Mytilus edulis: one gene and its partner. The protein of the gene in region 1 binds, or shares a complex with, the protein of each later gene. Links are inferred from orthologs where the notes say so. Each region holds a gene or a part of one and is shown on either strand. Other genes may lie near its edges.

What was found. The genes of interacting proteins can lie anywhere in the genome.
Region 2: the proteins of kinesin-associated protein 3-like (region 1) and kinesin-like protein KIF3B are in contact, whole or in part, in a crystal structure (PDB 9IKB), measured with the Caenorhabditis elegans proteins. The link is inferred for Mytilus edulis from reciprocal best matches to the Caenorhabditis elegans genes kap-1 and klp-11. Residues at the interface, in NP_001367739.1 of Caenorhabditis elegans: Pro155, Gln156, Thr159, Ser197, Lys198, Phe199, Ser200, Cys201, His203, Thr263, Asn264, Thr267, Ile269, Lys304, Leu307, Lys308, Ile311, Phe312, Met345, Phe348, Asn349, Phe352, Lys378, Asn381, Tyr384, Leu385, Cys388, Asp390, Lys393, Glu416; in NP_001369897.1 of Caenorhabditis elegans: Phe567, Pro569, Lys644, Arg645, Leu646, Val647, Ala648, Thr649, Pro650, Cys652, Arg653, Arg654, Pro655, Met656, Ser657, Met658, Cys659, Glu660, Ile679, Val686, Glu687, Ala688, Thr689, Ile690, Ile695, Arg696, Phe697, Cys698, Gly699, Glu700.

The regions. Positions count from the first base shown.
Region 1 is NC_092345.1:944,605-952,099, forward strand, and holds the start of kinesin-associated protein 3-like, read left to right. Parts: upstream 1-4,414; 5' UTR 4,415-4,528; coding exon 4,529-4,560; intron 4,561-6,751; coding exon 6,752-6,883; intron 6,884-7,495. Other genes in the region: N-terminal Xaa-Pro-Lys N-methyltransferase 1-A-like, read right to left, coding at 23-532, 4,008-4,157.
Region 2 is NC_092350.1:78,705,342-78,713,304, forward strand, and holds the start of kinesin-like protein KIF3B, read left to right. Parts: upstream 1-4,922; 5' UTR 4,923-4,990; exon of another isoform or gene 4,991-4,994; intron 4,995-7,058; 5' UTR 7,059-7,125; coding exon 7,126-7,128; intron 7,129-7,963. Other genes in the region: centriolar satellite-associated tubulin polyglutamylase complex regulator 1-like, read right to left, coding at 1-33, 4,559-4,604.

The sequences.
Region 1 (7,495 bases):
AAATTTCTAGTTTATTAAGCCATTACCGCAAAGCAAACATATACACATTATAAAGTGCTTTTGGGAAACCTTTCTGTTTTCTATCTAATATTATTTTGAGACCTGCTTTTTCTATGAGAGATCTGAGATTGTCTAAACTTCTAGTATAACTACTGTCTTCTGAGTCAAACTCTCGCTCATCAGTGGTTACATTTTCTTTAACAAAAATCAAACCATTTTCTGAAAGTCCTTTTTGACATCTTTGAAAGAACTTTATTAAATCGTCATCTTTCAAATGTCCTAAAACCCATTGACACCAAATCACATTATAATGTCCTTCTGCTGGGCAAAAGTCTTGTAATCCAGAACAAAATCGATTCTTGACTTTTGAAAATTCTTCTCCAATGAAAGCTGGTGCCTGGTCTAAAAAATTCTGGCTGAGCTCCACCATGTCAACTTCTTTGAAGATTGGTAATAAAAGTCTTTTTGTAATTCTGCCTATTCCTGCCCCACAGTCTAAGGCCCTGGTTGTTTCTGTTTCTCCTCCACCCATCTACAAAATAGTTAAAATTCATTTGATTTCTGGCCTAAAACTATTGATCCTTTTTAACATATCTTAACAAATCAAGATCCAATAAAGTACATTCAACATATTTACACAACTTCTAATTTTGGGAGATTTTAGAGCAAAAAATCTAAGTTTTCAAAATACTTATTTCTGTTTGTTAGGCTTCAAATAGTTACCTTATACATGTTATGTTATGTATATATTTTGTGTATCAAAAAGGTAGTGATCAGCCTTAAAACATTTAGATATCAAGTCAGTCACATAAGGTTTTGCTTGCATTTCATGCAATCTTTACCTTTAAACAGTCCATTAAAAAATGTTTTTAAAAATGGCTTTAATTATTAATGAAGCTATATTGGTTTTACCGTTTCAATGGTTTACACTAGTCATTTTTAGGGCCTTTATAGGTTACCATGGTTACTGTTCAGTGTGAGCCAAAAACAAAAAAAAAGACTATAACATAAGGCCAAATAAAAAAGTATGTGTGGTTCCAGTTACATCTGAAAAAAAGTTAGGGTAGGTACATGTAGGTAGGGATTTTTTTTTATTTTATGTTTTTTTTTTTACATTGAGTCTATGGGAGCAACATTCCGACTTTAACACTGCTTAATGAAAAATGACAATAAAATCTTTAGGGTAGGCTATTTTTAAGCCGAAAAAGTAGGGACGGTAGGATAACTGGAACCACATGTACACATATATTTTTATTTGGCCTAACGAAAGAAAAATCTGTCTCAAACAATTGACTTCAGTACAACAATCACTTTTCCATAGTGGAGTTAGACATGTCAGATGTTTTCTATTATGATGTCAAAAGTTTAACAGGACAGACAATTCATGAGGAGGGGTAGGAGGGGTCCTGATCAGGATGATCCTGAAATCCCAGGCATAGAACACAAAATCCTGAGGTTCAGAATTAAAATAAATTATTAAATCCTGATATCCCGAAATTTGAAAAAAAGAATTTCTGGATCCTGAAAGGGTCAATCCCGAAATCCTGAGCTTAAAAACACCTGATCCTGGAGTCCCGATAAAGGTCCTATCCCCCCTCTATCATTCAAAATGCAAATAAATATTAAATTCTGAATTGATTGACAAGGGTCAAATGACTTTGAATAGGAGTCCATTTGTACTTCTCGGACTGCTAACTTTAAACAAATATGAACATGATGAAGGTGTTATACATGTACTATAGACGGAGTGTTGGTAGGAGGGGTCCTGATCCTGAAATCCCGGGTTTTAAAACATGAAATCCCCAGATCCCGAATTTAAATCCACATATCCCGAAATTCAAAATACACGAAATAAGAATTCCTGGACACCGAAAGGGTGAATCCTGACATCCTGAGCTTAAAAACACCAAATCTTGGAGTCCTGATAAAGGTCCTATCCCCCCTCTATCATGATTGACTATTAAGTTACATGTATATATGTAGGACTCTAAAGTGCGATGGTCACGCTAAAGTGCGATGGTCTACGCTAAAGTACGATGGTGTCTCACGCTAAAGTGCGTTGGTTGTTAGTTCGCTAAAGTATGATGGTGTATCACGCTAAAGTGTGATGGTCCAAAGGGTAAGATTCAAGGGGTTAAAACATCGAGGTTAAAAAAGTTTTGCAAAAGCTAGTATGCTAAGGTATAACATATGTGATAGGCTTCATAATTTTCCGGTAGGCTTAAGTGATTGTTTCTAAATAAACAAGTTCAACCAAGTAATAAATGCTATAAAGGTACTAATTTATGTGTCGCAAAATATTAAATTTCATGTAAAATGAATTTTTAACAATTTGGAGCGTATTCATGGTATTGAATATTTGGATAATTGGTATATATTGTCGTTCACACCAATGTTACAACCTTCCTTAGAGTCGTCATTGAAAAATTATAAATACAAAATTCGTTCATTGTCGGACAGTCAGGGGACTTACTTAAACAAGTGATTTTCTAAATCACTGATTCAAGTAACATTATTTCCATAAAGGTTGGAAGTTAGAGTTGTCTTTCTTTAACAATCACCTATTTAAGTAGTACAAATTAATCACTAGAAGAAGTGATTTAATTTTATTGTAGCCTTAAATATAAAATACTAATGATCCAGGGACTAATTATGTTTCTAAACTTATCAGAACCAACATCTGTGTTGTCTAGGATAACCAGGTCATTTCAGGTGATGACCTTGTACTGAATCTAGGATAATGACATAAAAATCACTTGTTTAAGTATCAGACCTCAATTTCCTTCCCAAAAATCACTTCTTTAAGTATCATTCTTTTAATAACCCCTACTAATTTCAACACCCCTGAACAGTGAAATTTTTATCGCGAACAGTAAAATTTTATTGCATAATCTGAAAGATGAAACCTTGAACTTCACAGGAAAAATACTCCCACTGCTGTGAAAAATCTTTTAAGAAAGTATCAGTTCATTAAATAAAGCCATTATTATAGCATTTTTTCAACTAAAATGGAATTTTCAGCTAAATGATAGCATCAAAGGCATAAACCTTGCTACTTAAAAGAAGCCAAAAGTTCATATTTTTTAATTTTACTAATTAAAAGATATTATTTAAACCTATATGTGTTTAAAATTTTGAAAAAACTAAAAAATCCCATTTTGTGACAAAACCTCGAATTTGCTACTCAAATAAGTGATTTAAAAATCACTTATTTCAGTAAGTCCCCTGACTGTCGGAATATGCAACAATAATTTTTCTATTTATAAGCTTTTAATCATGTCAAATGCGAGAAAAAGGCAATGTTCGCCTAGCTTTCTCCTTTTTCTTAGCGAGTACAAATACATGTTTTATTTTCCTACAATGTACAGTACAAACAAATGTTTAAGCAGAAAATTTATAATTCACACATAAAAACATGTATGTCTATTTTACCGTCGGACGTATCTTACATTAAAATCAACAGCATTTTAACGAGGATCAAAAGTAAACTGCCACATAAACAATGCTTCAAATGTATCCATTTGCTTCTAATAGAAGCAGGATAAGTATGCCTAGACTGTTTTGTATGTATTTAGTAAATTTGTTCACACAGAGTACAAGTCCTTCCAGCACTCGAAAAAAACATAAACATTGCGCTACAGCCGACAAAGAACGGTTAAGTTTAAATAAATTACTAGTATTAAAGTCATGGACATTTATTGTAAAAATTGTTAATAAAATATTCTGAATCTATCTTCCGACGTGTTCATTTTTGGTTTGTATAAACGACTGATAACGTCATAATCAAACTACGTTTCTTACGTCTATACTTTCGCGGACCATCGCACTTTAGCGAATACCATCGCACTTTAACGTGACCATCGCACTTTAACGTGACCATCGCACTTTAGCGTCCCCATCGCACTTTAGAGTCCTACATGTATATGTAACATGTATAATGGAAATACATGTAATTTGTAAAGTTTTATAAAAATTATACATGTATATGTACTATATTTATTATTTACCGTTATAAATGGTCTTATAAACTCTCTTGAACCGTTAATATCTGTAGGTGAAATTTTTGCAAATCCACCCAACATTCCATCAACTGTTGGAGGAATTGATTCCCAATGTTTCTTTGCATCACCGTAAAATTTCTCTGTTCCCTGATCCATGTTGTTCTGGAGACTGGTTTCCTGTGTATTGAATAGATATTTTGCTTTCTTTTAAAAATTGTGGAAACCAGTATAACATTTTAATCTCTATACTGATTATTCTCAAAATACCTATTAATAACTTGAAGTGTATTTATTTTTAACAAAATAGTTTTATAATAATGAAATTTATTCTATTTACTCGTAATTTTAGGTAATTCATATTATTATGTTTGGTTGAAGACTATATTAAACTGGTTTTCGAACTTGTTATACTATTTTCTGATTTCAAGAGATTAAGGAACCAGATTCATAAATATTTTGCCATGGATGTCCGAATAGAATAAAATTTCAGTAGTTTTGTGTTTAAAATCAAATGAGAATAGTCCAAAATGCAAGTCGAAGAGGCCAGATACTTAAAAAGGTTAGAGATTTTTAGACGATTTTTGTTATTTGATCTACATGTACACATACTTAAATATTGTCATATTTATTTAATATTATTTAATTTTTATGGATATTTTTTTTTGTCTAACGGTTAAGCATCGTTCATTCAGTACTCAGTACTGCCAGAAGTATGTCAAGATGACATTACTATTTGTGCTACATATATAGGTGCCAAAGAAAGATATCAAAATGTCCTGTCAAGAGGGTAAGAATGCCCTTTCCTGTCAGTGTCATGCTTCAAACAGTCATTTTCAGCTATGGTAAGCGTCATAATTGTGATTCGTCCGAGGTCTCAAATAATTATTGTAACTGTTATTTTAAGAAAAAGTAAATGTGTTTTCGTCAAAACCAGTCACTTTTTTATCATATAAAACATGTGTAAAAGGAATGCATTTTATCTAAATACTTACAATGTATGTTGAACAAATCTATCCCATCAAAGACAAACAAGAGATACATGATACTACAGATACAGTTAATTCTGCCTCATATCTTAACTTACATCTAGAAATTGACAATGAGGGTCGGTTGAAAACAAACTTTATGACAAAAGAGATGATTTCAGCTTCCTAATTGTGAACTTTCCATTTCTATGCAGCAAATTTCTGATGATTCAAGCAGCACCTGCATACAGAGAATATATATCCCAATTGATAGGTTATTCCCTGGCTTGTATTTCCTATCATGATTTTCTTGATAGAGGATTACTGCTCACAAATGAAGCTATAGCTATTAAACCAAGAGGACTTACTGAAATAAGTGATTTTTAAATCACTTATTAGAGTAGCAAATTCGAGGTTTTGTCACAAATTGGGATTTTGTAGTTTTTGTTTAAATTTTAAACGCATAGGATTTCTTTTGCTAAGGTCGTCAAATCACTGCCTGGATTCAAACTTTTTACTCTGATTCTAAAATCAAAAATATCTTAATTAGACTCTGTTTCATGCATGTTTTTCATGTTTTTGTTTATAAATAAGGCAGTTATTTTTCTCGTATGAATTGTTTTTCATTGTCATTGTGACCTATGGTTGGTAATTTCTGTGTCATTTTGGTCTCTTGTGGAGAGTTGTCTCATTGACAATCGTACCACATCTTCTTTTTTTATAGTTAGAGACAATATATTTAATTTTTATTGGCTTTACATAATGAACTGATACTTTCTTCAAAGATTTTTCACAGCAGTGGCAGTATTTTTCCTGTGAAGTTTAAGGTTTCATCTTTCAGATTATGTAATAAAATTCTACTGTTCGCGATAACAATTTCTCTGTTCAGGGGTGTTGAAATTAGTGGGGGTTATTAAAAGAATGATACTTAAAGAAGTGATTTTTGGGAAGGAAATTGAGGTCTGATACTTAAACAAGTGATTTTTATGTCATTATCCAAGATTCAGTACAAGGTCATCACCTGAAATGACCTGGTCATCCTAGACAACACAGATGTTGGTTCTGATAAGTTTAGAAACATAATTAGTACCTGGATCATTAGTATTCTATATTTAAAGCTACACTAATATTAAATCACTTCTTCCAGTGATTAATTTGTACTACTTAAATAGGTGATTATTAAAGAAAGACAACTCTAACTTCCAACCTTTAAATGGAAATAATGTTACTTGAATCAGTGATTTAGAAAATCACTTGTTTAAGTAAGTCACCTGACTGGTGAAGTTGAAATCATCAATTTATAAATTTTACGGATGCCATCACGAGTTGGTTGACCGTTATGAAATAACCATTTCATAGATGATATCAGATATGTTCCTTATGTCGTAACTACAATACCCTTCCCTTTTCACGACTGTGACCTACCAAATTAGACTATTTACATGATTTATAACTATTTATCATGTCTACATTTAAAACATCTCTATTCTGTAAACATGGTAGAAACATATAAATGTAACTACGTTTATTACTATTTTACATTGGGGGATGATCTCTGGTCCTGCTGGTGCTCTGGAAGGGTAATCAGATTCAGCTCCACAAGAACCACCTGTCATGTTGGTCAGGGAATTACTCAATACAAAGTTGTGATTGAAGACGTAGATTTTGAGAAAATGCATAAATGATGCTTTCAAACAGTCAAGTGTAATATATTTCATGTATATTAGAATCTAAGAAATTTAATAAATTTGAGAATGGAAATTTTAACATTTTTTGTTATTTCAGAAAAGTAAAATTCAGTAGTATTGATGTTCATCCCACAGAAAAAGCTTTGGTAGTTAATTATGAACTGGAGGCAACAATACTTGGAGAATTGGGAGATCCAATGTTAGGGGAGAGGAAGGAATGTCAGAAAATGTACGTTTATACTTTCTTGTGTACTTTCTAAATGCTGTATGGTCACTGCAATGAGAAAAACAAATAAATTTAGTTATAATCTTAAAAATCCTTCTCTTCATTGTCTGATTGTAACTTACTTTAATTCAGATTTCAGATTCTTAATTAGATTTATAAGTAATATTACATTAGTCATGTTAGTGTTGTCCATTAAAAATCATATAACATGTATACTATATATACATGATATACAAAACAATATTTCAAAGTTTCACATGCAATGACATGTATAATAATATAATTGTAACCATAATTTTAAGAATTGTTTAAATAAGTTAGTCATGTACATGTTAGTAGTACGGTTAGGAGAATTTTTGAATCATATAAAAATTTGTTAAACTCAACCATCATATATAAGTACCATCTGTTTTAAAGACCCATATCATTAATGGGTATGTATATGTTACAGGGAATTTGTGAAATCAGTGATTTTTACAAAATCACTGAAATTTCAGGGAATTTGTAAAATCACTGAACTGATTAGTGATTTTATAAAATCCCTGATTTTGACTAGTGATTTTACAAAATCCCTGAAATAATTAAAATCTTTTTTACAGATTCACTGATTAAATT
Region 2 (7,963 bases), on another chromosome or scaffold:
TATCCTCAAAGTATATTAGTATATTGTGTTTTGCTGAAAAATAACAATTATTTATTTATTTTTCATGCAATTACATAAAAACTTTGACAAATCTATAACTTAGAGTGAGAATTCTCCTAACAATTCACCATCTCAATATTCTTTTAATAATAACAGTTGTAAATTAATGCATTACAAAATAAGAAGATATGGTATGATTGTCAATGATACAGTTCTCTCAACTAGAGACCAAATGATGTATACATGTAATAGATTTAATAACATGCAACTATAGGTTACAGTATGGCCATCAACAATGAGCAAATTAACCCATACTGCATAGTTAGATATAAGAGGCCCTATAATCCACAATACTAAACAAAAATAACCAGGAAATATATTTATAAAAAGTAGAAACACTATAAAAAATGCAGGAAAACAAGTGTTGTTGAAAATCATGTAAAGACGTAAGATGCTTGTAATTTTGAAATTCTTAGACTGTTTTTATCTTTTAATGTATATATAAAAAGAACAGTTAATAGAATATTGAATGAATGGAGTTTGAACAACCATTTTATATAAGAACCCTGTTAATTTTAACTCGCTGGTTTGTAATTAAAATGGCCAAAAAAAAAACATGACAGTCACATGTCTAATTGAAGATCCGGTGTCTGACAGGCTAAAAACATATCTGGACTTTATTTTAACCCTTCAGAATTTGTTTCAACAACTCTTATAGTGATGCACATTTTTGACATTAAATAAAAAGGGTCTCAACACTAATTAGCGACAAGAAGCGTCAAGAAGAAGAATTTTAGCAACAAGAAGCGACAAGAAAACATATTTTTTTTATTAAGATTACTTATTCCAAATAAATATTCCAATTTAAGTATATGGGCAGAAATATATATTGATAGATGAAGATATTAAACATTTGTGAGGAAGAAAGGGATTGTGTAGTTTATATTATTATATTGATAGATGAAGAAATTAAACATTTGTAAGAAAGAAATGGATTGTGTAGTTTTATTAAATATAAAGAATATGTTTAAGATAATGTATGTACAAAAACATGAAATAATATTTCCTTTCTAGCAGTATAATTCATTGTTCTTGATAGGAACAACATTAAATGTGGCTTCACCCTAGGGTACACACAATGAGAAAAATAAAATGAGATTAACAAGGCGTGTGTCCCTTGTTTTATTGCTACAATAACATCCAATTAACACCTTCAACTTTGTACAAACGTCAGACTATACAATTACATATGTGCCAGAATATACAATCATTGTAAATAGTGAACACCTGTTGAAAACTGAAGATTGTCATTAATTTCATTTAATTAGTCTTCAATCAACATTAAACTATGCATAAACATGACAAATATCGTAAAATGAGGCAGTACACAAAATAAAATGATCAAAAATATTCACATTTTATGTTTTCCTCTTGTTTGATTTCAGTTCTTTGTATTTCACAATTTGTGTCTGTATTTTCTGGACAATGATGCACAACTAATGCATTTTGCAAGTTTATTATCTATTGTACAAAGAGAGTTTAGGGAGCTACCATTTGACTTTTATGGGGGGGCTAGGATGAAATTTGAAAAAAATAGGCAGGACAGGAGTTTTGAGTAAAAAAAAAGGCAGGATGAGACACTTTGCAAAAAAAAAAAGGCAGGATGACAATTTAGGTAAAAAAAGTCAGGATAAACTAATAAAAAAAAAGGCAGGACCGAATAGAGTGAAAAATAAAAAGGCAGGACAGAGATTACAACTAAAAAAAAATGCAGGACAAAATTTTTCTTCCTAGCCCCCCCATAAAAATCAAATGGTAGCTCCCTTAAAGGGAAAATTCGCAAAAAAATAAAAATTTGATATTATGTTAAATAAATAAGCATATTCTCTGAATATTAAAGCTTTATTTGTCTAGATAAGTGAGTTATTAGATTTTTGAAATTGACTCTAAATTCTCGGCAAGACGCCATCTTGAAAACTAATGACCACGGATATCTAATTACCACAAAGTCCTAGTACACGGCATGACATGTCCGTTAATCAGTGTTAATATGACTTGTCAAGCTGATGGATTTTCTACCCGACCAAGTAATGGAAGCTGAAGAAGTCTACATAGTTTTCAAGATCATCAAATCAAGTAATGCTTGACACTAAGATTGATAAGAATAATTTAAAAAATACTTTAAAAAACATCTTTTTTTTCTAAGAGGGTTAAATATTCAACGTACAATGCTGAGGTCAGTTTAAAAAGCTGTAAATGACATAATATCGTACAATGGTTTTAGCTGGTCAATAAATTTACATTTTTGGCACCCAGATACAGTATCAAGTATTGTATGAATTATGCTATAATAATGTTAAAGCAGTCTCAATAAAGTGAAAAAAATTCCGGAGATACTTATTATAAACTGAGATTTATCTCCTATGTAAAAGATTTTTTAAATGCTTTTTTTTCTAACATATATTTTTAGCTTATTTTGGGTTTTTACCTAACTTGACCCACGTTCAAAAACTTGTCTTCTTGTAATCAGCATGGCTTAATACAGGTAATTACTGGGGTATTGTAAATGTGACATATGTATTCTAACGGTCGACTTCCTGGCAGGCTTGTTTAATTTAATACACAATGAACAAGGTCAATGAATCACATGCGTGATCGCGAGTGAACCAGGTGTGCACAGGTAAAATTTATAAAATATACCATACCAATATAAAACTGTCCGTGATATATATGGCCTGTGTACAAAATCTAACAATTTTTTTAAGAGTGATTGTAAGAATACGTATAGATTATCCCACTGTTATCTAATTTCAATTTTACTTTTATTTATATTTCAGCACCTATTCTTCCGTTTTTATATATAATTTTTAGTCCCGTTATTTCATATAAGTAATTCGTCTAGTTTTTATCCTCACATATGTGACTTCATTTTCACTCTAGAAAACAGTTGTATATTTTGAAATGAATGCCGTTTTATTTTAATAACTGTTCATTCATTTTAAATGTGAAATAAGAATATCAATTTGTAAACTTCGGACTATACAAATGCAGGTTTGCTTTCGTCTAATGAGATAAGAGAATTGAAAAAACTGTCATATAAAAACAAGCACGCTCAAATCAAAATATAAAAATATGTGAGTAAAAGTTAACTTGAACAGCAAAATTAACCTTTGATCTCGAGTGTATTGGTAATAAATTTATGTATTTTTATAGTATAGCTCCTTCCATAATCCAAATGATATCAGATAATTATTTTTCATAAGATTAACCCCACTTAAATCTGAGACTGTGTTATAGTAGTCTCAGCTTAAATCTAATGACAAACACTAGAGGTAAAAATGTAATACAGATACACCTTTCTTTGATCATGGCTTTCAAATGTCTAAATTTAAGTGTTCCCGTACATGTTTTGCCTTTATAAGACAATTAAAATGCTTTTGTAAAACTAGTTCTATTTTCCCTTTTTAAAAAACATAAATAAATCATAAGAGTGTATCTCATTTTATTCCGAAAACTAAATTTAATTTCCATACTTTAACCGGTTCATTTTTTAGTTTAGTTACTTATTTGAATTCAAATAAAATAATAGCATCAAATATAATTAAATAATTCCACGGCGATTCACTTGTATTTGTCAACACCTTAAAAATGTATTTTAAATTTGTGTATTAAACGCGACCTCCTGTCTTATAATCCACTGATCCGAATAGACAGTCGCACCTGGCACGGAGTTAATTACCAATCTGCAAATAACATTTTACCTTCACAAGTATTGTCGGAGAATAATACACACAACGCATCAACCTAGTAATAACGTAGATAGTAAAAGGTCAATAAGCGTAAACCTATATATATTGTCTTAACAGTTTAAAGTTATATACTTCAATTTATTCACTTTATCAGTATGCAAAAGCATATATTAAAGCAAAATAATAATAATAAAAATTTCTTGTGCTGTCTACCCTTAAGAACATCAAAACCATTAATACATAAAACTATTTACTGGTAAACACCATTTGTTGAATAATAATATTTATTATTTATCATTATTACAAGTATTATTTAGTACATATGAAAGAATTAAGCAACACAACTATAGAAGATTTAATTAGATTTAATAAATCTAGCGTACATTGCTGTTTTTCATGTAACAATAACACAATGTAACCGTAGCCTCAATAATTATTGTTACATTCGTAATTAATCGGTTCCTTGTCCAACTTTGCATTCCGGCATTTAGTCTCCGATGTAACAATAATATTTTTATTATTGTTACATTTCCATTAATCGTATAAGCCAGTGCCTTTAAATTTGTTCTAATTAAAGTCTTTAAAAAGCGACTTTAAATATGGTTTAAATTTGTAAAGTTGTAGTGGTGTTGTTGTTCTAAATATAGAAACCGAAAAAAACCGTCACAATATATGGGATTGCAATCGAAACCGATAAAATATGGATGATATGAAAACATATGCCAGGACGATAAGGTCTAAACTTCTATGACCACTTTTTCGTGAACAATAAAGTAAAAAACACTGAAAATCTAATTATATAAACGCACCAAGGTATTTTTCTGCTGACATAGAGAATCTATCTTCCGCTGACATTGTGTTTTTCTCTTGAATACACAAATTTAAGGTCAATGATTTTTTTTAGTTGTCACAGTTGACATGACAACCAGTGCATTTTTGTGGATATCTCGAATTTTTCTTATTTCGATTATCTTATAAGCCGTTTAAGCTGTACAGCGTCATGTTCTTATTTAAGTGTGACGAATATTCTCCCAATTTCTAGAAAAGGGTTACATTTGGTTGGAAATTTGGATTGTGGTGGTCAAAACTGTATTAAAAAAGTGCTAGTCTGCGTCTAAATGATGTGTATTGAAAGAGCCAAGAAACCGTTATATTTAAACGTTTAGAAGACATCGCAATATTTATAGAAAATGTGCGCATGCGTTACATTTTTTCTGGCGAAGTTTTGAGAGCTCGTAGATGTAGGTAAACTATTTCGATACCATCACTTTAAATTGCCACAAGATACGAATACATTTCCCATGGGTTATTTCTTCTTTCCATTGAAGAAAAATAGCGAAAACAGAAAAAATTATCGCATCGACGTCTACAACAACTGAACAAGCAAAGCAAAGAGTTGGCTTTAAAAAAAAATAATCATTCCAAAAAATAGACTTTTAGACCTCAAAACTTGTCCAACATCACAGCTTTGTCTGTATTCAGAGACATTTTTGGAGCTGTAAGTTCACTTGTTTTGACGAACGTTAATTTTATGTTTAAGCGTTTGTAAATTCTCATATGGTATCGTGGCTGTTCCCCCTTGAGTTCTTTCGCCCATACAGTCTGTATACTCATGTTTTGTTCTCCCAACTTTTATTGAAAAATATTAATATTAAAGTTTAATAAACTTTAATCAGATATTGTCTTGTATTGTGTTTTCTACCTAATGCTACTTTCCCGCAGTGTTCTTCCCAGATATTTCGTCCTGGTAAACAGGGGAAATTAAAATACCATCTTGTTTCTAAAAATTATAGCATCACATCCATAACATAATCTAAAAGAAAACCACTTCAGATAGCATGATGCCATCACATTTAAGATTATTATTAAGCACCACATTACCATGATGCTAAAAGGCCCTGGGCAATGCTGGGGAAATACTGTATATAGCCCCCCCCCCCCCCCCCCCCCCCCTATGTGATTCATATTGGGCTGCTATACTTAGTAACAATAACAAATAATACCATGTGTGGTGAAGATGTCTTTATGGTGAAGATGTCTTTATAGTAAAGAGTTATACATGTTATAATTAAGTACTTACATTTCTGTTGAGCCAGCTGGACATTTTATGTCTTATCCGCATTCTAATCTCATAAGACTTAGAAACGAAAGACAACAATGGTTATCAGTTACCATCATATACATTTGTAACCAATTATTGACAATAAAAAAACAATTATTTTTTGTACTTTCATTTGACTTTACTTTTGTACTTCACTTTGAAATGATGTAAACTTTACTTTGAAATGATGTAAACTGTTAAATTGACAGTTCATAATTTGAAGTGTGCAACATCAGTGTACTTATATCTGAATTAGACTCTTTATTTGTGCAAAATAACGTTGTCAAAAAACTTCACTTTATTTTAAAAAAAACACAATTTCCTGATACCGGATGTTGACAATGGTAAAACATGAACCAGATACAGATACGTTAAATCTGTGTGCATTTACACAGCTTGGGTTTAAGTAGCTCTCCACGTTATTTCTTCAAGAAAATACCTGAAATGACCGTTAGATAAATGAACCAATGATTAATTTTAGCATTTTTGAAGAGCAGGGACACGTAATTAAATTTCCCAACTGCACACATGCGCACTAGTTCAAACAACGTGGTTCGGTCGATCTTTTTTAATTTTTCATTAAATTATATTTACAAACCATTTGTAAATGTATTTCTAATAAATTTAATATTTTTGAATAAAGTAATTAGATACAAACTGCTGAAATGTCAAAAAATATCTTTGAATTAACAAATCAATGTCCGGTACAATCTTTAGTTTACCTGTCAACTGAACAGGTAAAGTTCAGCTGTCCGATACTAAACCAATTAACCTTGGTTATAATGAGAAGGTATTAAGGTAGGGTTTGTTTTGATAGTACAATTTAATTATTCACCATGTCACTTTTATGACCGGAAATGTTTGGCTGTTGACAAAAGGACGGGTAAAAAAAGATCACAAAAACTTTCTTAAACTGTCCTGGATTTCTACCAAACTTGGACAGAAGCTTGTTTATGATCATATAGATAGTATTCAGAAATTATATTTAAGAGAAAAAAAATCCTGTTTATCCTTATTTTACTTATGAATGGACTTAGTTTTTCTGCCAGTTAACATTAAATACAATCTGCAGTCAAAGTTCCTAAAACATTTATAAGCTTCATAAAGTAGGCAAGACACTGGGTTCCGCAGAATTGTTAATGTGTTTACTCCAATCAACTTTTTTTTTTTTATCAAAATGATGTATGATTAATTATCTTTATTTTCAGACTTGGAAATGAAGACTGACTCTGTTGATCAAATCTATATATAGAAGTTAAAAAGAAAGAGGTCATCATGGTATGTTAGGGAATACATATTGCTGTTTACTATCAGCATATAGTAATAAGTCACTTGATTTCAGATAAAACATTTAATATGCAGCTATATTAAATTTAAATGTTGAGTACCATCAAGCTCACAATCACTTACAAAGGTTCTGTTTTCACTGGACATAAACTTTATGCATGAACATAATGAATGACCACATTGTGAGTAATTACATCTTCATTGCTTATGAAAATTCTATAGCAAAGCCAACGACAAAACCATTTGTGTAATTCAACCCTATTTTAAGACACTTATTGTATATACATGTACTTAAAGATATTGCTTTTATAAAATACCAAAAACAATAAAAAATGCAATCATGATGAAAAAAGACATCATAATAATATAACTGATTCAATGAATGATAAGGCAATGAAATCTAGCACGAAAGATACCAGAGGGACAGTCAAACTCATTAAAAATAATCTAACAACCCCATGGCTAAAAATAAAAAGACAAACAGACAAATAATAGTACAGAAGACACAACATAGAAAACTAAAAACTAAGCAACACAAACCCCACCAACCTAGATAAGGTACTGACATTAGCCCTTACAATAGTTTCCTTATCTATATATGTAATAAAAATCTTGTTTTAAAGGAAATTTGTTTATTCTTGCATCCTTTTACTATGGCTTGGGACTTCCATTATTTTGCAATTTTTCCTTATCGTCATTTTTGGAATTTTCAACTTCAAGATATATACATGTATGACCATTTATTCTACATGTTCTAAGGCTCTTGAACTGTTGACATTTCGCAACAATCTCATGTGCAACGTTGCATCAGAAATGATCTATTATG